Linked DNA regions of Oryctolagus cuniculus. The protein of the gene in region 1 purifies or fractionates together with the protein of each later gene. This does not show direct contact. Links are inferred from orthologs where the notes say so. Each region holds a gene or a part of one and is shown in the gene's direction. Other genes may lie near its edges. The genes, in order: tubulin alpha-1A chain, HAX1, BAG2, TCP11L2 and DNAJB11.

Region 1 (4,330 bases):
TTACTGAAATATATTTTATTGGCTAAAAGGATTGCAACAAGGTGATGTTGACTACTTTTACAATGAAATATGCAAGCAGTAGATAAAATGGCTTGTGTGTTAGGCTTCATTTTTTTCTAGAGAACTTACTGCAGCAAATCTGTGCAAGCAAAGCAGAGGTGTGGCTAGCGCAGTCCCACAGCCGCCATTGTCATCCCACAACCTGCAGTGCTGCCCACGCCCTGCTCTGCCCACCAGCCCGCAGCAGTGACTGGGCTCCACAGGGCGCTGTAGTAATGCAGCCCCCGAAAATCAGTTGCTGGAAATTGAAAGGAAAAACAGAAATTTCTATTTTTGATAGTCAAACAAATCTCTTTACCTCTGAAATGTCATCCACAATGGCAAGAGGTGCACAGCCCGGAGACCTATTTTGCATAGCCCATCCTTGATGAGAATGGAGCCGTTCCGAGCAGCAAACCATTTCCTAGGGGGGAAAGCAAAGCCTTTTTTGTCCCCAAGAGGCCTCTGGGCAGCCACCAGTCTCCAGCTGAATAGCAGCGGTGTGAGGCCGGCTAAGGTTCCCACAGTTAGGAGGGTGTGGACCCCATTCTTATAAGCACTATATAAAAATGGACTGCGGTTGAACTGAGACTGCAGAGTTGCCTGCAGATGGAGGCAACAATACAAAGTGGTCCTCTTTTTGCATCCTACATCTTTCTTGTCTTCTTTTTAATTTAGTGTTTTGGTTACTCTTTTTTGTTTGTAACTTTCCCAAAAGGCGAGCAATGCAGAAATATAATTGCACACACAAGGGATACCGGTTTCTGCAGTCAATTCTTTCTCCTTGTGTTTTCCCAATTCTGTATTGGGAACGATGATTCATTTCTACATCTCACAAAATATATTACAGAGTCTTTTGGCAAATGAGTATCTCTCATCAGCTAACCCTCATGTGTCCATTAGCTCTCACCGACTGCAATGCTAGAACCTTTTGTGTTCTTTTATGCGGTATGGCTATGCCTCCCATCACCCATTTTGTTGAGCTATTTGGGTGTCTGTGCCCAAAAGAAGATATGAAAATACATTAATTGAACCTGCAGAGCCTTTTTTTTTTTTTTTTGGATGACTGTATTACCGGGTCCTTTTCTAATTAAAATAAGAGAGAAAGGGAAAGCATATTTACTCAAACCATTTTGAGTATCGCTCCCGTCTTTCCCACTTTATTTTTAAAGCAATTCGAGATGCTGGTTCGTAACCAAATGTAGCTTAGTGTACTGTCAGGGGGCGATTCTTCACGAAGATTCCATCTCAACACAAATGCTACGATTGAAACCGTACCTAGGTGATTTTAGCTGCAGGTTGAGACTGAAGCGATAGAAAATGATCTAGCCGCAGTCCTCTTTCTTCCCTTCCGCCCCTCCCGAGAGCCCCACCCCGTAATGGATGCTGGGCTGCCGGCTTTGGCTCGGTCTCTTTGTCTGAAGGATGCAGTCTATGGATACTGGGGGAAAACGGGTGGGGGAGCGATTACCTCATCCCATGTCGCCTGCACCAATCAGCACTCTTCTGCCGCGGCTTCTCCGGGCAGAGAGAGGGGTCTGGACCAACAGGAAGAGGCCCCGGCCCATCCCCATGGCGACCGGGCTGTATATAGGCGGCCGCCACCGCCCGAGCCGCAGGTTCTCTTACATCGACCGCCTAAGAGTCGCGCTGTAAGAAGCAGCAGCCTCCCTCTCGGCCTCCGCGCGCAGCAGCAACCATGGTAAGCGCCGGCCCCCCAGGCGGCCCGGGGAGCCCTTTGTAGCCTTTTTTGTCCAGGGTGGCTTTGTTTGCTTTCGGTCCCTACGCCCTGCCGCTGCCGCAGTGCGGAGCCAGGGCCCGGCCGGGACGAACAAAGGCGACGCCAGGGAGTGTTTGTCGCCGAGGACTCCCCGGGGCCGCAGCTGCCCCTCCGGCGGGGCGGGAGGGTCCGCAGCCGGGCGGGGCGTGCGCTCCGCGCTCGTGGGGCTCCCCGGGGACCTGCAGCCCGGGGGCGCTGGGTGTAGCTGGGCGCGGAGAGGAGGACGGGAACCGAGGGAAGCCTCGGGTTGGCGCAAGACCCTTGCGTTCTAGAGAGACAGCCGTCTACTAGCGGCTGGGGCCGGGGCGGCGCAGGGGCGGGGTTGTTTGTTTCTGGCTTCCCCGGTGTTGGAGCCGCCGGACCGGGTTCGCCCTCGCTCAGCCTCCGCGGTCACGGGGAAGCCTTGAATAAAAGCCTTGCATCACCGCGGAACTGAAGACTTCAAAAGGGTTTTCATTACCTGCTAAAGCTCAGATGAAAAAAAATTGTTTTCTCGAGGCCCAGAATCCCAATTCACAAGCCCTTTAAAGTCTGGTCCAGCGTGGCCACGCCCTTGAGGGCTGCGGGGCCGGGCTGTGGGGGGGCGCAGGGTCCGCCCTGGGTGCCTGCTGGGCTGCGGTCGGGAACGCCTGCCCCGCCCCCGCCCCAGGGAGCAGACAATGAAAATTGCAGCCCTAAAAGTGACAATCTCTGTGGGATGAGGAGTAAGAATTTTATGTGGTGGGTAAAGAATTTCAGAAAGAAAACACTTTTTTGTTGCTTTAAATACATATTTCACTGTCCTTTCACTGGGCTTTTGTTCTTTGCTAGCTTCTCATATAACATTTCTTCCTAACTCGCAAACTGTTGTTTCAAAAATACTAACAATTTTTCAGTTTTTTACAGTGGAGGCGATTCTGTAAAAACTTAAAGTAACACAATTGCTGCAGACAAAGAATTACATTCTGCTCTCCAGCCGTCTTTTGTTCTAGGGTGTCTTCATTAATTCATTTCGATTCAGGAGCATGGTCCCAGGCTGGGTCAGGGGAAGAACTAGCAAAACAGCACAATGAGATCATATAGGCAGTTGCTGGAAATAGAGCTTGCTCTGTTAAATAATGTAGCAGACAGTACAGGCTAGCGCCAGGCACAGCAAATAACGGCAGTGCAGCAATGCAGAGGCAGACTTTTGTCTAGCTTCTAATAACTCCTAGTATTGATGGATCCTGCAGGCAGACTGCAGAAGGGTGTGGCTTGCAGCTGCAGTACAGATGCCTCTTGGAATCCTAAGTCCTCTGCAGAAGAAACTAATCTCCAGTTAAAGGGGGAAAAAAGCAGTAAAATGAATTCCAATCCATGATTGGATTGAATTTAATTTACTTCATTTTACAAAATCTGTGCTTTGAAGCCATAAAAAAATCTTCCATTCAAGCATGGCTCTGTGAACAATGGGCTTGCACCATGTGCTAAACTGTGCCAAGGCGACATTATTATTCAGACCACACCCATCTGCAGTATTTGTAGCAGGTGCTTTTCTTTCATCGTTTCTATCATATTAGGGATAAAACTGCAAATAAATTTGAGGAAGATCTAATTACTAGAAATACTTTTAGAAATTTGCTGAAAATTCAAAATGCTAATACAAAATAATTTATATATATTTTTCTCTTTCCCTCACACAGCGTGAGTGCATCTCCATCCACGTCGGCCAGGCTGGTGTCCAGATCGGCAATGCCTGCTGGGAGCTCTACTGCCTGGAACACGGCATCCAGCCCGATGGCCAGATGCCAAGTGACAAGACCATTGGGGGAGGAGACGACTCCTTCAACACCTTCTTCAGTGAGACGGGCGCTGGCAAGCACGTGCCCAGGGCCGTGTTTGTAGACCTGGAGCCTACGGTCATTGGTGAGTTGGCCTCCGTGGCCTCAGTGAGAGCCCCGGGTGCTGGGACAGGTCTGGGACAATTCTGTGAGGGGGGAGCCACTGGCACCCCGGGGCCCTGCAGGCTGTCAGTGACAGGTGGCTGGTCTGCTTCCCTCTTCCAGATGAAGTTCGCACCGGCACCTACCGCCAGCTCTTCCACCCCGAGCAGCTCATCACAGGCAAGGAAGATGCTGCCAATAACTATGCCCGCGGGCACTACACCATTGGCAAGGAGATCATTGACCTCGTCCTGGACCGAATTCGCAAGCTGGTATGTTTCCTCTCAACAATAAAGTACATTAGTAAGTTAAGGGATGCTGTTTGGTTGAAACAGAATTGAAATTGAAAAAAGGTTTTTAAAAATTCAATTAAAACATGAACTATCTGATATCATTTTGTAAATACTGAGAATTTTTAAATGAAGAAATGTTGAGTAATTCCAAGGTCTTCGCTTTTTAAAAAGCATTTGTTAAAGTAAGATCTAAATTCTTAGAGATGTACGAAAAGTGAGACTATTTACTATGATTGTATCACAGACAACAAAGACTTAATCTTTTCTATTCCTCTCTTTTAAACAGGCTGACCAGTGCACGGGCCTGCAGGGCTTCT
Region 2 (4,139 bases), on another chromosome or scaffold:
AGTGGGGAGGGGGGCCCCCAAATATATATCAGCCCAACAGCCCTAAGTCTCCTCCTTTATTATTAGGAAAACAAAACAACAACAAAATGGCGTCATGAATATGAACAGCATTGTCAGATGAAATTAGTTGAAGTGTTTTTTTTTTTTTTTTTGTACTGTGTCCTCGAATTTAATGGATTAATGTGTCTTGTATATATAAAAAGAAAACCTCTACCTTCAGCCTCTGCCCATTCTTGCTCCGTCTAGGACATCCTCAGTCTCGCCGGTGACCAGCTTGGTGAATAAGTATTACTGTACCAACTGGGCCGCCTCTGGCGGGCCCCGAAGGCAGTGGAATAAAATATCTTCGCCCTTTAAGAACTCTGACCTTAATGTGCTAGTATCTTGCCCCCTAAGAATCTCACAACCCGGTGACTGGAAAGAACCACCACAGATCTCCATTTCCTCAGAAACCGCTGCGTCGAAGGGAGAGGGGTGCAGGCGGCTGGCCGGGGGGCGGACCCAGGGGAGGAAGGGCGGCGCCCAGTCCGAGGACGACCTGGCCCAGCGCGGGAGCCGCCGCAGCGGCCGTGCCCACCCCTGAGACCAGCAGGTCCAGAGCGGGGCCCGCGGTGGGCACGAGAGCACCTGGAGAGACGCCTTCAAAAGTCAACGGCATGGAAACTTCCTTTCCGGGGCTCTTCGCTAACTTCCCTTCCCTTAGCTCTTAAACTTCAAGTCCTTTATCTTGCCGGCTGCAGAACTTTAGAACAAAGAACCCTGTATAGTTAGGACAAACTCCTAGGACCAGTAGCTGGAGAGAGGAAGCTCCCTTGCCCCCGTCTCTCCTCAACCCTGGAGAATGGTAAAGCATTTTGTCCTCTCAGACGTCATCCAGATCAGTGTGGAGACAAAGCGGAGGGCGCCACGGAGCCCAGGCAGCGTCTGCAGGCAGTGGGCCACCGCTGCCGTCCTCGGGCGTGGGGCGGCGGGGCGAGGAAGGGTCTCGGGCCGGTCCGTTACGCGCTCGGGCTGCCCTCTGGCGGCTTTTTCCGGGAGACCATCAGAGTCGAACTCTCGAAACCCCTGTTGGATCGGGTTGGTCGACAGTAAGGAAAATCGACTTAGGATGGCGGAGATCACTGGGAAGTGGAAATGCGCCGCGCCCGCTCCCCTTGCAGAAAACCGCTCTCCAAAAGGTTGGGTGAACACAGCTTTTCACGTTTCAGAACCCTCCGCCCCGCTTCCCCGCCCACATCCGGCTTACAGACGTTTTACGACAATTCGTCCGGATCGCGGGTTTGCTTTCCGGTAGCGTGGACGGACGCTCCGCTCGGTTTCCGACACCGTCGCGCAGGCCCCCTCCTGGGCTACGTGGGGGGGAGGGGGTTCAAAGGTTCAAGTCCCAACACGGGAATGAGCCTCTTTGACCTCTTCCGGGGCTTTTTCGGCTTTTCTGCACCTCGGAGGTGAGAGTAGGTCCGGGTCAGAGAAGGGAGAGGCTCTTCTCGGGGCTGCTTGACCCCGTCACCCTATTTCTTGGAAAGAAAAAAGAAAAACAACCTTTCCCCACCCTGCAACTTCTGCGGAGCGCAGGAGGTCGCAACCTTGAGCACTCACCCCGGGACAGTAATCAGGGCGGTCGTTAAGAGGCGGAGAAACAGTAACCTAAGTCTCTCCTACCTAGGGTGATGCAACAGGGACCTGGGCGGGGAAGACAATGGGGGCTTGGGGAAGAGGAAGTGAGCCAGGTCCTGGGGAGAGGGGAGGGGCTGGGGGGCGCTGAGGAGGCACGGGGGAAAGATGCCCTGAGGGGAGTTGCAAAGTCAGGACCGACGGATGAAAACAGGAAGAAAAGCCAGAGCTGTCCGCTGATAGATTTGGACCTGACAACTTGCTTTCCAGTGGCCCCGCCTCCCCCCCCCCCCCCCCCCAGCTTCCTAGACCCCGCTTTTGCGTACTTTGGTACTTTGATTTCATGGCTTAAAACAGTGCTGAAATCTTGGTGGCCGATCTGCCTCCGCCTTCAGCCACAGAGATCCCTTCTTTGGAGGGATGACTCGAGATGAAGATGAGGATGATGAAGAAGAGGAAGAAGCCACATGGGGCCATGGGAGCTCCAGGTTTCCTGGTTCCCAACCCCCGGAGGAATTTGGATTCAGCTTCAACTTCAGTCCGGGAGGAGGGATGCGTTTCCATGATAACTTCGGCTTTGATGACCTAGTCCGGGATTTCAATAGCATCTTCAGCGAGATGGGGGCCTGGACCTTGCCTTCCCATGCTCCCGGTGTGTGGACTTCCCGGAGGGAGAACCCGTGGTTTCTAGGGGGCTGGTGGGTGAGTGAGCTTGCAGGGAGTGGGAAATGCGAGAAGGCTGATGATTTCAGGGAGCTTAAAGAGCCCAGGCTCTTTCCCACCTGCACCCTTTCTGCAGAGCTTCCAGGTCCCGAGTCAGAGCCGGCTGGTGAGAGACCACGGCGGGGACAGACGCTTCGAGACTCAATGCTTAAGTACCCAGATAGCCACCAGCCCAGGATCTTTGGGGGGGCCGTGGAGAGTGATGCAGGAACTGAGTCTTCCAAACCAGCAGCAGACTGGGGCTCCCAGAGGCCTTTCCACAGGGTGAGTACCCACCCCGTGTGAGCCTGAAGCCACTAACAGCACAGAGACCAGGATCCTCCTCGGAATCCTATACATTTGAGTTGGAAGTCCAGGCCTTCCACTTAACTCTGCTGATTTTACGTTTCTTGTAGGATCTCATTGGAGGGAGGGAGGGGAATGGGAGTTCTGTTTCTTTAAAAAAGAAAAAAAAAAATCCACCGGTTTAGATGAGTGCTTGTCCTGGGAAGCTTTCTTGGTAGAAGGCCGTGGAGCAGTAGGTAGAGTTGTCGGGACCGCAGGTGCTCCTCCTGGGGGCGGGGGTGGGGGGGTCAGGACTTAGGAGTAGTTTGAGGCTTTCGCTTCGGAAGGTGTCTCTTCATCTGTGTGGCTTCTTCTGCAGTTTGATGATGTGTGGCCTGTGACTCCCCATCCCCGGGCCAGAGAGGACAACGGTGAGTCTGGAGAGAGGGCGCGTGTTCCGTCCCCCGTCCCCCGCTGCAGATCTGCCCTGCCACACTGGTCCTCTTTCTTCCCCTTGGACTCTGTCTCCTGGTTCTTAATCTCGGTGCCTTTCCAGATCTTGATTCCCAGGTTTCCCAGGAGGGTCTTGGCCCAGTTCTGCAGCCTCAGCCCAAATCCTATTTCAAGAGTATCTCTGTGACCAAGATCACTAAGCCAGACGGGGTGAGTGAGTGAGAGAGGGGAGTGAAAGGAAGCCAGCCAGCGAATGCCCTGGAAAGAGGGCTCTGTCAAAAGAGACCGCTGACTCGCCCTTAGTGATGTTGGCAACATGGCGGGGGCTTCTCCCTGCAGGCCGTGGAGGAACGCCGGACTGTGGTGGACAGTGAGGGCCGCTCGGAGACCACGGTGACCCGGCAGGAGGCAGACGGCAGTCCGAGAGGCGGTGAGTTAGGGGCACGGTTCAAGGGGGTCCGCCGTGTCACTGCCTGCGGAAGGGACGCATTCTCTGTGGTCTTTCGTATTCTCTCCCCTTGCCCCGTCCAGGCTCTTCAGTGGCTTACTGTATGATTTTTTTCCCTTAGATCCAGAATTACCGAGGTCTCCATCCCTGGATGATGCCTTTTCCATCCTGGATTTGTTCCTAGGACGTTGGTCCCGGTCCCGGTAGCCTTGTTACCCCTCAGGGGTCTCCAGGTCCCCCTGCACTGCCCACCATCAGCGAACTGGGCTGCTTCTCCTGCCCACTTCAGGGGCTTGGGTGTGTGCACCAGGAGGCTGGGGCAGGTCAGTGTGTCACCTGCCCAGACTGACCAATAAAACCTCTATTTATGCTAATTTCTTGTTCTTGGTTTTGTCAAGGCTGTTTTATTTCCCGGAACCATGCAGAGCTTCTCAGATTATCTTGACTCACAGCCTTCTCCTTATTTGATTTTTTTTCCCCATTTCCAAAACCTGATTTGATAAGGAAGGATCAGATACCAGCAGAAAATCATCTTCGTACGAGATGACATAATTTCAGGAACATTCCTTTAAAAAGGATGCATCAGATTCCAAAAAAAAAAGGGGGTGGGGGATGTGTGTACCCGGGGTAGCTGCTT
Region 3 (4,283 bases), on another chromosome or scaffold:
GGGAAAAGCAAGAAGGCTAGTAGGTCTGAAGCAGCATGGGCTAGGAGAGTAATGATCAACTTTGAGGCTTTTCTAAGGACCTTGGCTTTTATGCTGATCTGAGGATCTACTGAAGGTTTCTGAGAGTAAGTGCTGTCATCCACCTTAATTAGGATTATTGCAGTTGAGAATACACATGAGAAGCAAGAGTGGAAGTATGAACCAAAGAGGGACGCTCAATGATCCAGGTGCAAGTTGACCAGGTTACGTGGACCTAGTGGAAATGGAGCTGAGGGAAGAATCTTGGACATACTGTGAAGGTAGCATTCATGTGATTACTGATGGACTGGATCTAGGACATGAGAGAAAGTCCAAGGTGAATCTAAAGTCTCTTGAGAGACATCAAGCCATTCACAAAATGTGTTGGGATATCGAGTTTAATGTTTGGCAAAAATATGTTTAATGAGATCGGTCAAATAACACCCTATACCAAAAGCTTACTAGTATTTAGAATGAGTACAGATGGAATTGGGATCCAGGCTTAAGAGTTCCCTCTCTGCTAAAGTATTTAAGTGGTGATGGTCACTGATGAAAGGTTGTGATTCAGCTTCAAAGCTGTTATTACCATTTCCATGCCTTCAGTTTTCATACTTGCAATACGAACATTCTTGTAACGTGAGCTATCCTGAGAGCGGAGCAAAGCACAATATTTTAAATACAGCGGCCCTGCTCCATCTTTTACTGATATTTACTGGATTTTTGTTGTTGTCGTTAACAGATTTAATACGTTGGGTGTGAAGTGACCATTACCAACTATTTAAAATACCAGAAAAAATTTTTGTAGGCATAAAAGTGAAATTCCCTTTCTTGGAATGTGTGGGAATTAAATTCACTTTGCTTCGCATCTGGAGCTAGACAGGCAAAGACGGGATAGCTGCTTCATTCTTTCTCAGTAGCGTCAGTGTGGTCCAGGCTGTTATTCTCAGAAAAGTGACTTGGTCAAGTACAGACTGCCGAGGAGGCGGTGTCCTTCTATGTCTTCTGCTTTGCAAAGGGACCTTTTCTCCCTGTCGGCAGAAACCTGAATGTTTTTTCGTTCTTGCTTTGAATTCTGGGTGCTGAAAGGAAGTAAACGAAACCATCGGTGAGCCATGCACCCACAGCCTGCCCACCGTGTGGTATGGTAACTCCGCATAGGGGGAGTTGGCTACTTTTATGCTGCACCAAGAGTCGGGGCTTGGGTGTTCGCTGGGTCTCCGCGCCGATTTCGGGTTGTTCCAGGAGCAGAGAGCAGCCGACTACGTTAGGTGCTCCCCTTTTTGGGTCCTCCCATCCCAGAGTCTCGGAGGCCTTAGCTCCTGAGGCCCACCCTCGAGCTTTTGCGGCCAGCTAGCCCCCTCCAGGCCCCGCCACCCCCAGCCCGCGCGCGCCGCGCCTGCCCTTCTTTGGCCACGCAGCCGCGGCGGAGTCGGCGCGTCCTCGCGAGCCGCCCCCGCGGGCGTCAGAGAGAGGCGGGCGCCCCGCGCGGTGACGGCGACGCCTGCGGCCCGGGAGCGCTCCACTCGCCACCGCGGGAGAGGCCGGTGACCTCTCGGCCGCCCCGCCTCAGAGGCTCAGATGGCTCAGGCGAAGATTAACGCCAAAGCCAACGAGGGGCGCTTCTGCCGCTCCTCCTCCATGGCCGACCGCTCCAGCCGCCTGCTGGAGAGTCTGGACCAGCTCGAGCTCAGGTGAGCGGCCGGCGGGCCGGCGAGGGGCACGCGGCGGGCTCGGGCGTCCTGCTCGCCGCGTGGGCGGCCGGCGGGCGGAGGCCCCGCCTGGGGCAAGCGGCGGCGAGAGAAGTTGCTTGTTGGGGTGGTGTGGATGGAGGCGGTGCGGTTTTGTGTCCTGGCAGGTTTTCCTCTCCTCGCTGAGAGAAAACGCGTTCCGTCCCAGCTAACCTGTGAGCACGTTATTGATGGACACGTGAACACACCTGTGTGTTTTAGCGAATACCCAGAGAAGATAAAAGTTAGGGTGATGGTAATGGAGATTATTTCCAGAACCTTCTCTGGGGTCCCAAAGATCTTTAAGCCCCCCCCCCCCAAGGTTGCGAGTTAAGGGAAAAAGATTAAAGTGTTCTCCCCACCCCACCCCACCCCCCGTGAAGTTTTCTTGTTCCAAAGCACTTCAGAGCAGAAAGGGGGGGGACCCCAGGAATGCATCTAAGAGCAAAAATTGTAGAGCAGTAGGCCAAGGGAGGGGCTGTAGGAGGAACAGTAACTGGGTCCTGTACCTCGTGGATTAAAGACATTATGGCTGCCTTTGCTCTCCTAAGCCCACATACTGTGTTCCAGTATTTATTTTCTTAATATTTATTACCTTACATAAAAGATGCTGCTGAGACCTTAAAAGTGCTAGTCACTGGCCCGAAAGCATGAAAAGATAGTCAACAGTTTTTCCTTTTTCCCTTGATGACAGTTTTAAGTAAGTAAGATAGTGATAGGCTTGTATAGAATGTCTAAGTAGTAATAAGTTTTGGAAATGGCTTTTTCCTTTAACAGTGTATAAAAACGTATATGTACTATCTATGAACATTTGTGTCTGAAGTTAGTGTCTGCGTTGTGGTTGTGTGCAGGTATAGTTAGGTGAAAATCTTGAGACACGCATAGCCCCCTGACACTGTACATAGGATTTGGTTCAGTAGTTTCTGCCAAGCTCTGAAGGCGCAAAGGAGTGTGGAAGCCCCAAAGTGTAAACAGTGCTGTATTGTGTGTCCTTCTCTCCCTCCATTAATATAGCAAAACATGAAGAAGTGTCTGTTTGCCCAGAAAAGATACCAGTAACCACAGTGTCTGCTAGTAAAAAAAGATTCGCTATTACTACTGGGAGGAAATCGCCAGAAAGTGTGAAATTCTCCACTCACAATTCCAGGGATGGCAACAGAGCCACCTGGGCCCTAAGCCAGGTACTGGGGTTCACTTAGGGTGCGACAAGTTGAAGAGAGAAGCAATGCTTCCTTATGGATTGCCACAGAATCAGCAAACCTGGGTTCAACACCCAGAGAAAGTGGAGTGAAACTACAGTGGCCTCAGCTACTCCAAGCCCCTCTAAGGAATGGGATTTCTTTTGTGTAGCAGCTTAGTAAGTACCTTAGACTTCTCTCCAGGCGTTCTCTACTAGCCTCTCTCCCCCAGTCAGAGAGAACAGGTTTTCTCTTATAGGAATGAGGAGCATGTTCCCCCTCCTTCCTTCCTTCCTTCCTTCCAATGACAAGCTGAGTCATTGTCCTCACATGTGGTAGGCACAAAAGCAGTCAAGTGCTCCTCTTCTAAAACAAGGCCTCTGATTTGGGGTATTACTGTATTTCTGATATTTGGTGAATGTCAAATGAATTCTGATTACTGCACATAAGTGATTAAATTACAAGTTGCTTAATTACCACTTGGGCTGAAGGAGGAAAGTCTGATTAATATGTGTGTTAATTGTTCATTTCAAGGGCTTCTCGAATAATTCTAGAGTTTTGTTTCTTCCTTTTAAAAAGAGTAATACTGAAAACTAAACAAGTGTTTCAGAAGGTTCGCAAAAATAGAGAAAAATGCTACTGCTGATCCTAACTGAAGTTTGGATGATACCATGCAGGCAATGTGCAGAGCATTGTACCAGTGAAAACTAGAATCGTGCCTAGAGGGAGGTCGAGTTTTCAAACATGAAATTCATATATAATTTATTCTCATCGTTTGAGGTCATATTAAGTAACACTAATAAAGTAGTTATGTTAGTAGAGTGAGGCATTTTAGCTTGTACTTAGAAGTATGCATGTACTGTTCTCTAATGCTAGTTTGATGTTTGGGAAGGAAACTTCTTCCCTCTGAAACCAAAAACAGGATTATACCCAGTGCTTGATGACCTGGAATATTTGGCCTTCCTGATGCTTAAAATGCTGTAAAATGTTTGGCAGTCTTCTTCAGTTTGTTTCTGATACTTGATTGTTACACAAGCCTTGCTTTTTTGACTGCATTTTGTCTCCAGATTGCGTCCCCAAAGAGGCAGTTCCTTTCTCTCCTGGTTTTCATGATTTCTGAATGGAATATAATTTTACATTTGTCAATAGCTCAAGCTACTCTGCTAATTATCTTTTTAGACATTTATCATTTATAAATAATACAGCTTACATGTCAGGCTCCATATCTGTGTGGAAATTACTGTAATCTGCACTCTACAGATGAGAAACTGAGGCTTAGAAACTAAAGACTCATCCAAGGTCATACCACCAGAGAGTAGTGTGCTTTAAATCTGAACACAGGAAGTCTGGCTCGCAAGGC
Region 4 (3,549 bases), about 56 Mb from region 1:
TGACCTTCTCTGCTGAGTGACCTTGCCAAATGGCAATTGGAGTTTGGGGGATGTTTCCCTTTTCCAGCCTGTAACCTAGGTAATAGTTAATGAATTTTGGCTTAGCTCCTTAATCACCTCTCTATTTTCATTCTAAAATTTATAGACAAATATTTCATGTCCTGGACCTCATGAAAATGGACATGGCCAATTTTACAATTAGGAGCCTTAGACCACACCTTCAACGCCAGTTGGTGGAATATGAGAGAACCAAGTTCCAGGAAATTTTGGAAGAAACTCCAAGTGAGTATACTATAATGTGTATTTATATTGAAGTTGGGTGTCAATATGATACCTAGATAAAGAATTTTGACCTTGCTGTGAAACATCTTTTGACCTTATAAAATGACATAACAAATTTACAGTTGTTTTCTCTGTTCCAAGTATGTACTTAGTACTATTGACTTCTTCATTCATTCAAGAAATATTTACTGAGCACCTGCTATATTCCAGAAACTGCTTAGGTGGTACGGTTAATGTAGATAACAAAATGGAATAAAGTTGCATTCCCAAGGAGCTGAGATTCTAGTAGGCATGACTAATAAGCAAGCATATTTTCAAACGTATTAAGTTCTGTAAAGAAAAACAGCATAAGGACATCAACAGTAATAGCGTAGGAAAGAATTTAAGGGGTGACTTCTTGATGAGATACACTGGGGAGGCCTCTTTAATAAGGAACCCTTGAGCAAGGTTTGCAAAAACAGTGAGAAAGATTGTGTGAAAAATCTGAGAGAAGGAACATTCTAGCCAGAGGGAGCTACAAGTACAAAGACCTGAGGCAGAATCTTGCTTGTGAAGTTTGATAAATGCAAGACAGACACTGTGGCTGAAGCAGGGTAGGTAAGGGAAGAGTGATGGGAGATGAGGCTGGGAGGCAGACAGAGACAGGTCTCCTAGGCCCCTGATAATAACCAGAGGAGTAGATTTCAGTCCAAGTATGATGGAAAGTTATTGGAGAGTTCTAAGTTGGGAAGTGACATCTGATATTAATTTTTGAAAATACGGTCATGAGCCGCATGACATTTCAGCCAACAGACCCATACCTGATGGAGAGCCTGGCAGATTATCATGCAGTGATGTCATAGCCATCTTAGTTTGCATAAGTACATTTTCTGAGGTTTGTGCCTTACAGTGCATTTCTAGGAACAGTCCCAGGTGACCATACCAGGGCAGATAACAAATTGTTGAGAGCAAAGAGGGGAGCAGTTGCTCAGGCAGGAAATAGTGATGACATGTCCTAGGTGGTAGTGGTGGAAGAGTAGATTTGCTGGTGTTTAGTAAGGGGGAACAAAGAGGAGCTTGGAATACGTTTAAGGTTCTTGGTCTGGGCAACTGGGTGGATGGTGGTGTATTTTAGTGAGATGAGAGAGACAAGGGGGATGGGAAATGATGGAGGATAAGAAGTCAGTTTCAGATATATGATCTTTCAGATCTGGCTTGACATCAATGTGGAGATGGACATTGGCATTTATATAGAAGAAACTGGAGTGGAGAGGAATTGATGAACTATGGGTGTACAATTAGGAATCATCAATATGTTGTATACAAGGGATCTTCTAAAAATTCATGAAAATTATCTTTTAATTTCATTTTCCCACAGCTTTTTGAGGTACCCTTGTATAAAGCCATGGAACTAGATAGCTTATCACGGGCTAGGCACCTTACATGCATTAACTGATGTAACCCTTACACCACCAATGGGAAGTCTTCTCCCCCACTTTTATGGATGAGGAAGCTGTCGGCAGGAAGAGGTTAAATTACTTCCCTGCATAACATAGATTGTAAGACATGGAGTTGGGACTGAGCTCGGCAGCTGGCCCTGCAGTCCATGCCCTTATTTATCCCTGGATTATACTGGGTGACACAGCCTGGGCAGCGAGTGTAGATGTTGAAGGGGACTGGCCTGGGACACTCCAGCATCTGCAGGTTGAGATGAGGAGGAGGATGCAGCAATGGGGACTGTGAAGGAGTAGCCCGAGAAGGAGTATGGAGGTCAGGAGTCAGTGAGTCCTACAAGGCAAGTGAAGACATGTTTGAAGCAGGTGGATGTGAGAGGGGGTGGTAGGTGCTGTCAGGTGGTGAGGAAGGAGGAAGGCTAAGGCTTGACCATCCAATAGTAACCATGTGAAGACCGTTGGTAACCATGGGAGAGCAGTTTCAGTGGACTTGTGGGCCTGGAACCCAGACTGGAGGGAGGTCAGGGAAGAACGGAAGTAGAGGAAGTATAACCTCACTGTTACCAACTACCCGGTGAGCTAAGTGCAGTTATCCCCAGTGGGGGACTGAAGTGTCAGGTGTTGCATTGCCGGCAAGAGGCTCACTGGCAGAGCCTTGGCACCACAATTCATTAACCACATCCGAACAGAGTTACGTGATCCTCTGCCACCCCTCTATAGACTGAACTTTTCTGCCAAAATAGTGAACAAACCAAGTGCCACTTCAGACAGAGCTGTGGCAGGCAGGAGAGCATCCAGGGGAGAGGGCGTGGAGAGCCACACGAGGAATGGTCGCTGAAGCCGGCCGCGTTCCACTTGGTACCAAGGAGACTCAGGTGGGCCAGGCACCACCCCACCCATTGACAGAAGTGCAGACTTTGGTTAAGCTCTGTGGTGATGACCAGGATCCATAGGTAGGAAGCCCCAGCCAGCCTGACCTTCTTAACAGTTGGAGCTCTTTAAACTTTGGAATGGGCCTCTGTGTTGCCTCTATGTTGCTAGTACTGGAATGGGCCTCTATGTTGCTAGTGCTAGCTAACGTATCTGAGCATTTGTTACTTGCCAAGTCCTTACTGTGTGCCAAACAGTTAACATTATTACTTCATTTAGGCCTCACAGTAGCCCTGAGAGGTTGGTAGTATTATCACCCCCTATTTATAGATGAGGAAATGGAGGTTCGGGCACATACCCTAGGGGCCTACAAGCAAGTAGTAGAGCCTGGATGGCCCGTGTTGGCCTTTGCATCACAGCGTGTGCATTTACACAGTGTGCAGCACTGTCTGACCTCAAGCAACATTGCATCTGCCTGTGGGGGATATTCCATCTGCTAGTTCACTAGCCAAATGCCTGCAATGGTTGGGGCTGGACCAGGCTGAAGCTAGGTGCCTGAAACTCCGTCCAGATCTCCCATGTGGGTGGCAGGGGCCCAAATGCTTGGGCCATCTTCTGCTGCTTTCCCAGGTGCATTAGCAGGGAGCTGGAACAGAAGTGGAGCAGCAGGACTTGAAATGGCATGCATATTAGATGCCAGTGTTGCAGGCAAAGGCTTAACCTCCTGTACCACAATGCAGGCCCAAAGGCTCAGTGACTTCTAAGGATCCTTCCACAATTCTGTGACTTCAAGCACTCTGTGGTTTTTAGCTCTCAAGGGAAAGGGATTAAGAGAAATAGGACCCTATTAGAATGTGAAACCTGAACTGTAGCAAATGCATTCTTAACAGCATTTTTGTGAGACTGAAGTGGTTGGTTTCTTTTGTGTGCCTGTGCCTGTGCGTATGTTCTCAAAATGTGCCCT
Region 5 (3,549 bases), on another chromosome or scaffold:
ATACAAAAATAGTTCAGAAAGTTGTGGAGGGGTGGATGTTTGGCCTAGTGGTTAAGACACTCATGTCCCATAAAGCAGTACCTGAGTTGGAGCCCCAGCTCTTTGCCTAATTCCAGCTTCTTCCTGATGCAGACTCTGGGAGGCAGCAGTGATGGCTCAGGTAGTTCCTGCCACCCACATGAAAGGCCGCTCCTGTCTTCAGCTTGGCCCAGTTCTGGCCACTGTGGGGAGTGAACCAGTGGATGGGACCTCTCTCTTCTGTCTCTATCACCATCTTCCTCCCTTTCTCTAGCTCTTTGTCTCTCTGTCTGCTTCTCAAAGAAAAAAAATTAAAAGTTCCTGAAAAATTGTATGAAAAGATAAGTGTATTCTGGTATAAAATATTTTAAAGCCATCCATCCATACAAAAGGTCTTAAAAAGTTCATGGAGAATTTATATTATGAAAAAAGCTATGCTTGAATTTAAAAATTTTTTTTCAGCAAAAAACTTAACTTTTAGTTCCATTTTTCCCTGGACTTTTTAAAATACCCATGTATATTACTTTTTACAGTGAATGCCCCCCCCCCCTTTGTAATATAATCATGGGAAAAATGTGAATGCCCTTACTATTTAAAAATGTTTTAAGAAACGATTACCTTAAGAGATAGGGTATGATTAGAAGCATGGACTTTGCAAGTAGTCTGCTTTGTTTGGAACTGTGGTCCTGCCATGTATTAGTTATGTGACCTTGGACCTGCCACCTGGTCTGTAAAATGGAGATAACAGTACCTACCTCACAAGGTTGCCGTGAAGATTAGGTGAATATGTAAAAGTTTTTAGAGCATTGCTTGGTATGTAATAAGTGCTGTAAAGTATTTGCTCTAATTCCTATCATTGTTAGGCTTTATTCTGCTGACCCGGGCTTTCATACACTGGTAATCCTTAAGGGACTGCTCCAAGCATTGGTGTCATGCTGCTGCGTGAGTATGCGTGCACCTCGTGATTAGGTGTTTGACTAATTAAACAGGCAAAAACAGGGATGTACTTCTTCACATATATATCTTTTTTTAAAAAAATTATTATTTGAAAGGCAGAGTTATAGAGAGGCAGAGAGAGAGAAAGATGTCTTCCATCTGCTGGTTTACCCCCTAAATGGCTGCAATGGCTGGAGTTGGGCCCATCCGAGCCAGGAGCCAGGAGCTTCTGGGTCTCCCACGCAGGTGCAGGGGCCCAAGGGCTTGGGCCATCTTCTACTGCTTTCCCAGGCCATATCAGAGAGCTGGATGGGAAATGGAGCAGCCGGGACTCAAACTGGTGCCCATATGGGATTCCAACCCTGCAGGCGGCAGCTTTATCCACTATGCCACAGCATTAGCCCCTATATTAATTTCACACACCTCGAGAGATCAGAGTGTTTGATTGCAGTCAGCTACAAAGAGATGGCAGCTATGTGTTTGCTATGTGTTAAGGTATCTGAATGGAGATAGCACTGGAAAACAGGCCAGGGTCGGGTTACCTAGAACAAGGAGCTGTCTTCATTGGGATCAGACGGCAGCCGCACACCAGCCCTGAAGGCTGTGGTTGTTCTTCAGGGGTTGTGCTTTACAAGGCCTCGATTTCAGCAGATGTAATTCTGTAACTACCGCAGTCGGGCTCACAAGTGCTGACATTATAAACCTTACTCTGGGTCTCTTCTTCCCTACTCCGCTCTCTCTTTACCTCTCAAACTTCAGAATTTGAGTCATTTAAATATGTGTTTGCCTCATTCCTGTTTGTGCTCCCCAGGGAGTCCTGTGAGCTCTTGGTCTCTCTGAGGGATGGCTTGTCTGGGAAGGGGCAGCTCCAGGTCCAGCCAGTGGCCAGAGCCCTGGTTGGCTGAGGTCCCCAAAGACAGTGAAGCTGATGTTGTTTATGCACTTCTTAGGTAGTTAGAAACAAACCTGTGGCAAGGCAGGCTCCCGGCAAACGGAAGTGCAACTGTCGGCAAGAGATGCGGACCACCCAGCTGGGCCCAGGGCGCTTCCAGATGACCCAGGAGGTGGTCTGCGATGAGTGCCCTAACGTCAAGTAAGTGAAGCATCTTCTTGGTTCCGCCAAGAAACACTCGAGTAATCGCTTTTGTCTAATGAGGCGTCAGTGGTCCATCCCCAGCTCTTCCTCCCTCCCCTTACCATGTTCTACCGAAGGATAGAGCAGGAATGGACATTTTAACTTTTTCCAGAAGTGTTTCTTCAGAATATGCGTATCTTTAATGTTTCTGAAACAGTAAGCAGTGCTGTCTATGTCTGAGTAGACTTACCAAGTGCTGAGGTTTCATTTTCTTCCTGCTTGCATAGCAGAGCAGTCTTATGTGTTTGTGTACTATATAGTAGTTCTGCCCTAAGTTTGGACATTTAGAAGGTGTAAGTGGATTTCAGAGGTCTTTGCAGAGGAGAGGTACACTGTAGTCTTCCAAGAAAAAGTCCTGATAACATAGATAACACTTTAATTATCTGTATCTTGGGTTTTCATTTGTATCTTCATTTTGTTTTTCTTCTTAAATTCTCTTTGTCTTAGACTAGTGAATGAAGAACGAACTCTGGAAGTAGAAATAGAACCTGGAGTGAGAGATGGCATGGAGTACCCCTTTATTGGAGAAGGTGGGATATTGATACTGATGTTTTATGATCATAACTTTCTGCTCTCCACTTACGAATATTTGTCTCACCCCATATCCTAATGGCCTCGTAGTGAATGCATATAAAATTCACCACACATGGAGAATCTTTTCTGACCATCACGGTTAGTCACCTGAGGCGGTGTCATTACTATTTGTCCTTCAAATATCATGCCCAAAAGTTACTATCAGGTGGCCTCAATTTCACCAGAATTTAAAGTGTCCAGACCTTTATGGATTAATTTTAACTTGACAGTGAAAGAAGATTCGCTGCCAGACTGTACCTTTGGGCTCAAATTTAAAACTCTAAAAGGATAAAAGCTTTCAGACTTCAGGTTCAGGGCATCAATGAATCATTCTTTGTTTGAGAAATAGGTCAAGTTATTTATTACCATGCCTGAGGCACAAAGTGATCTTATCTTCACTAGTAATCTGAAACGCTGTAACCAGGCAGAGACACTTCCTTCACAGATAAACTTGACAGAATCAATGCCAAGGTGGTGGCTTAAAAGAATTCTCTCAGCTGCCAAATAGATTTGTGGTATTCGACTTGTGTGACTTACGGTATGCTGTCATCTGTTCTGACTAGGCGAGCCTCATGTGGACGGGGAGCCTGGAGACTTACGGTTCCGAATCAAGGTTGTCAAGTAAGTGACCTAGTTCCAGAGGCTTCTCTAGCCCCTGCTTTCCGCAGGCATCAGAGCATCCAGTGTTCTTCTCTGTTCCGTGCCCTGAACTAGTCTTTGTAACTCTTGAACAGTACTGAAAATGTGGGGTTGGACCCCAGGATTGAGCCCCCTTTATTATTTACTTAGGACTTACAAGTCCAAAAGATGTCTTAAGGAAAAAAATTGATAGAACAAGTAAGGACTTGTAAAAGAGAAGCAAACAAGAATAAAAGTCAAGGAGAACT

What was found.
Region 2: the proteins of tubulin alpha-1A chain (region 1) and HAX1 purify together in Homo sapiens (affinity purification with mass spectrometry; 3 studies listed by BioGRID and IntAct, with this or other methods). This does not show direct contact. The link is inferred for Oryctolagus cuniculus from reciprocal best matches to the Homo sapiens genes TUBA1A and HAX1.
Region 3: the proteins of tubulin alpha-1A chain (region 1) and BAG2 purify together in Homo sapiens (affinity purification with mass spectrometry; 4 studies listed by BioGRID and IntAct, with this or other methods). This does not show direct contact. The link is inferred for Oryctolagus cuniculus from reciprocal best matches to the Homo sapiens genes TUBA1A and BAG2.
Region 4: the proteins of tubulin alpha-1A chain (region 1) and TCP11L2 purify together in Homo sapiens (affinity purification with mass spectrometry; 3 studies listed by BioGRID and IntAct, counting the BioPlex papers as one, with this or other methods). This does not show direct contact. The link is inferred for Oryctolagus cuniculus from reciprocal best matches to the Homo sapiens genes TUBA1A and TCP11L2.
Region 5: the proteins of tubulin alpha-1A chain (region 1) and DNAJB11 purify together in Homo sapiens (affinity purification with mass spectrometry; 3 studies listed by BioGRID and IntAct, counting the BioPlex papers as one, with this or other methods). This does not show direct contact. The link is inferred for Oryctolagus cuniculus from reciprocal best matches to the Homo sapiens genes TUBA1A and DNAJB11.

The regions. Positions count from the first base shown.
Region 1 is NC_091442.1:52,629,016-52,633,345, reverse strand, and holds the start of tubulin alpha-1A chain, read left to right. Parts: upstream 1-1,511; 5' UTR 1,512-1,738; coding exon 1,739-1,741; intron 1,742-2,279; exon of another isoform or gene 2,280-2,386; intron 2,387-3,480; coding exon 3,481-3,703; intron 3,704-3,843; coding exon 3,844-3,992; intron 3,993-4,299; coding exon 4,300-4,330. UniProt on the Homo sapiens protein: Tubulin is the major constituent of microtubules, a cylinder consisting of laterally associated linear protofilaments composed of alpha- and beta-tubulin heterodimers.
Region 2 is NC_091438.1:44,123,476-44,127,614, reverse strand, and holds HAX1 (HCLS1-associated protein X-1), read left to right. Parts: upstream 1-1,301; 5' UTR 1,302-1,395; coding exon 1,396-1,448; intron 1,449-1,971; exon of another isoform or gene 1,972-2,009; coding exon 2,010-2,266; intron 2,267-2,413; coding exon 2,414-2,601; intron 2,602-2,980; coding exon 2,981-3,032; intron 3,033-3,157; coding exon 3,158-3,264; intron 3,265-3,393; coding exon 3,394-3,484; intron 3,485-3,623; coding exon 3,624-3,709; 3' UTR 3,710-3,876; downstream 3,877-4,139. UniProt on the Homo sapiens protein: Recruits the Arp2/3 complex to the cell cortex and regulates reorganization of the cortical actin cytoskeleton via its interaction with KCNC3 and the Arp2/3 complex. Slows down the rate of inactivation of KCNC3 channels. Promotes GNA13-mediated cell migration.
Region 3 is NC_091436.1:112,404,854-112,409,136, reverse strand, and holds the start of BAG2 (BAG family molecular chaperone regulator 2), read left to right. Parts: upstream 1-1,434; 5' UTR 1,435-1,596; coding exon 1,597-1,709; intron 1,710-4,283. UniProt on the Homo sapiens protein: Co-chaperone for HSP70 and HSC70 chaperone proteins. Acts as a nucleotide-exchange factor (NEF) promoting the release of ADP from the HSP70 and HSC70 proteins thereby triggering client/substrate protein release.
Region 4 is NC_091442.1:108,928,856-108,932,404, forward strand, and holds part of TCP11L2 (T-complex protein 11-like protein 2), read left to right. Parts: intron 1-145; coding exon 146-282; intron 283-3,549. UniProt on the Homo sapiens protein: Promotes the migration of muscle-derived satellite cells (MDSCs) during differentiation throught interaction with FMNL2 and therefore may participate in microfilament assembly.
Region 5 is NC_091435.1:96,300,503-96,304,051, forward strand, and holds part of DNAJB11 (dnaJ homolog subfamily B member 11), read left to right. Parts: intron 1-1,904; coding exon 1,905-2,047; intron 2,048-2,536; coding exon 2,537-2,619; intron 2,620-3,225; coding exon 3,226-3,283; intron 3,284-3,549. UniProt on the Homo sapiens protein: As a co-chaperone for HSPA5 it is required for proper folding, trafficking or degradation of proteins.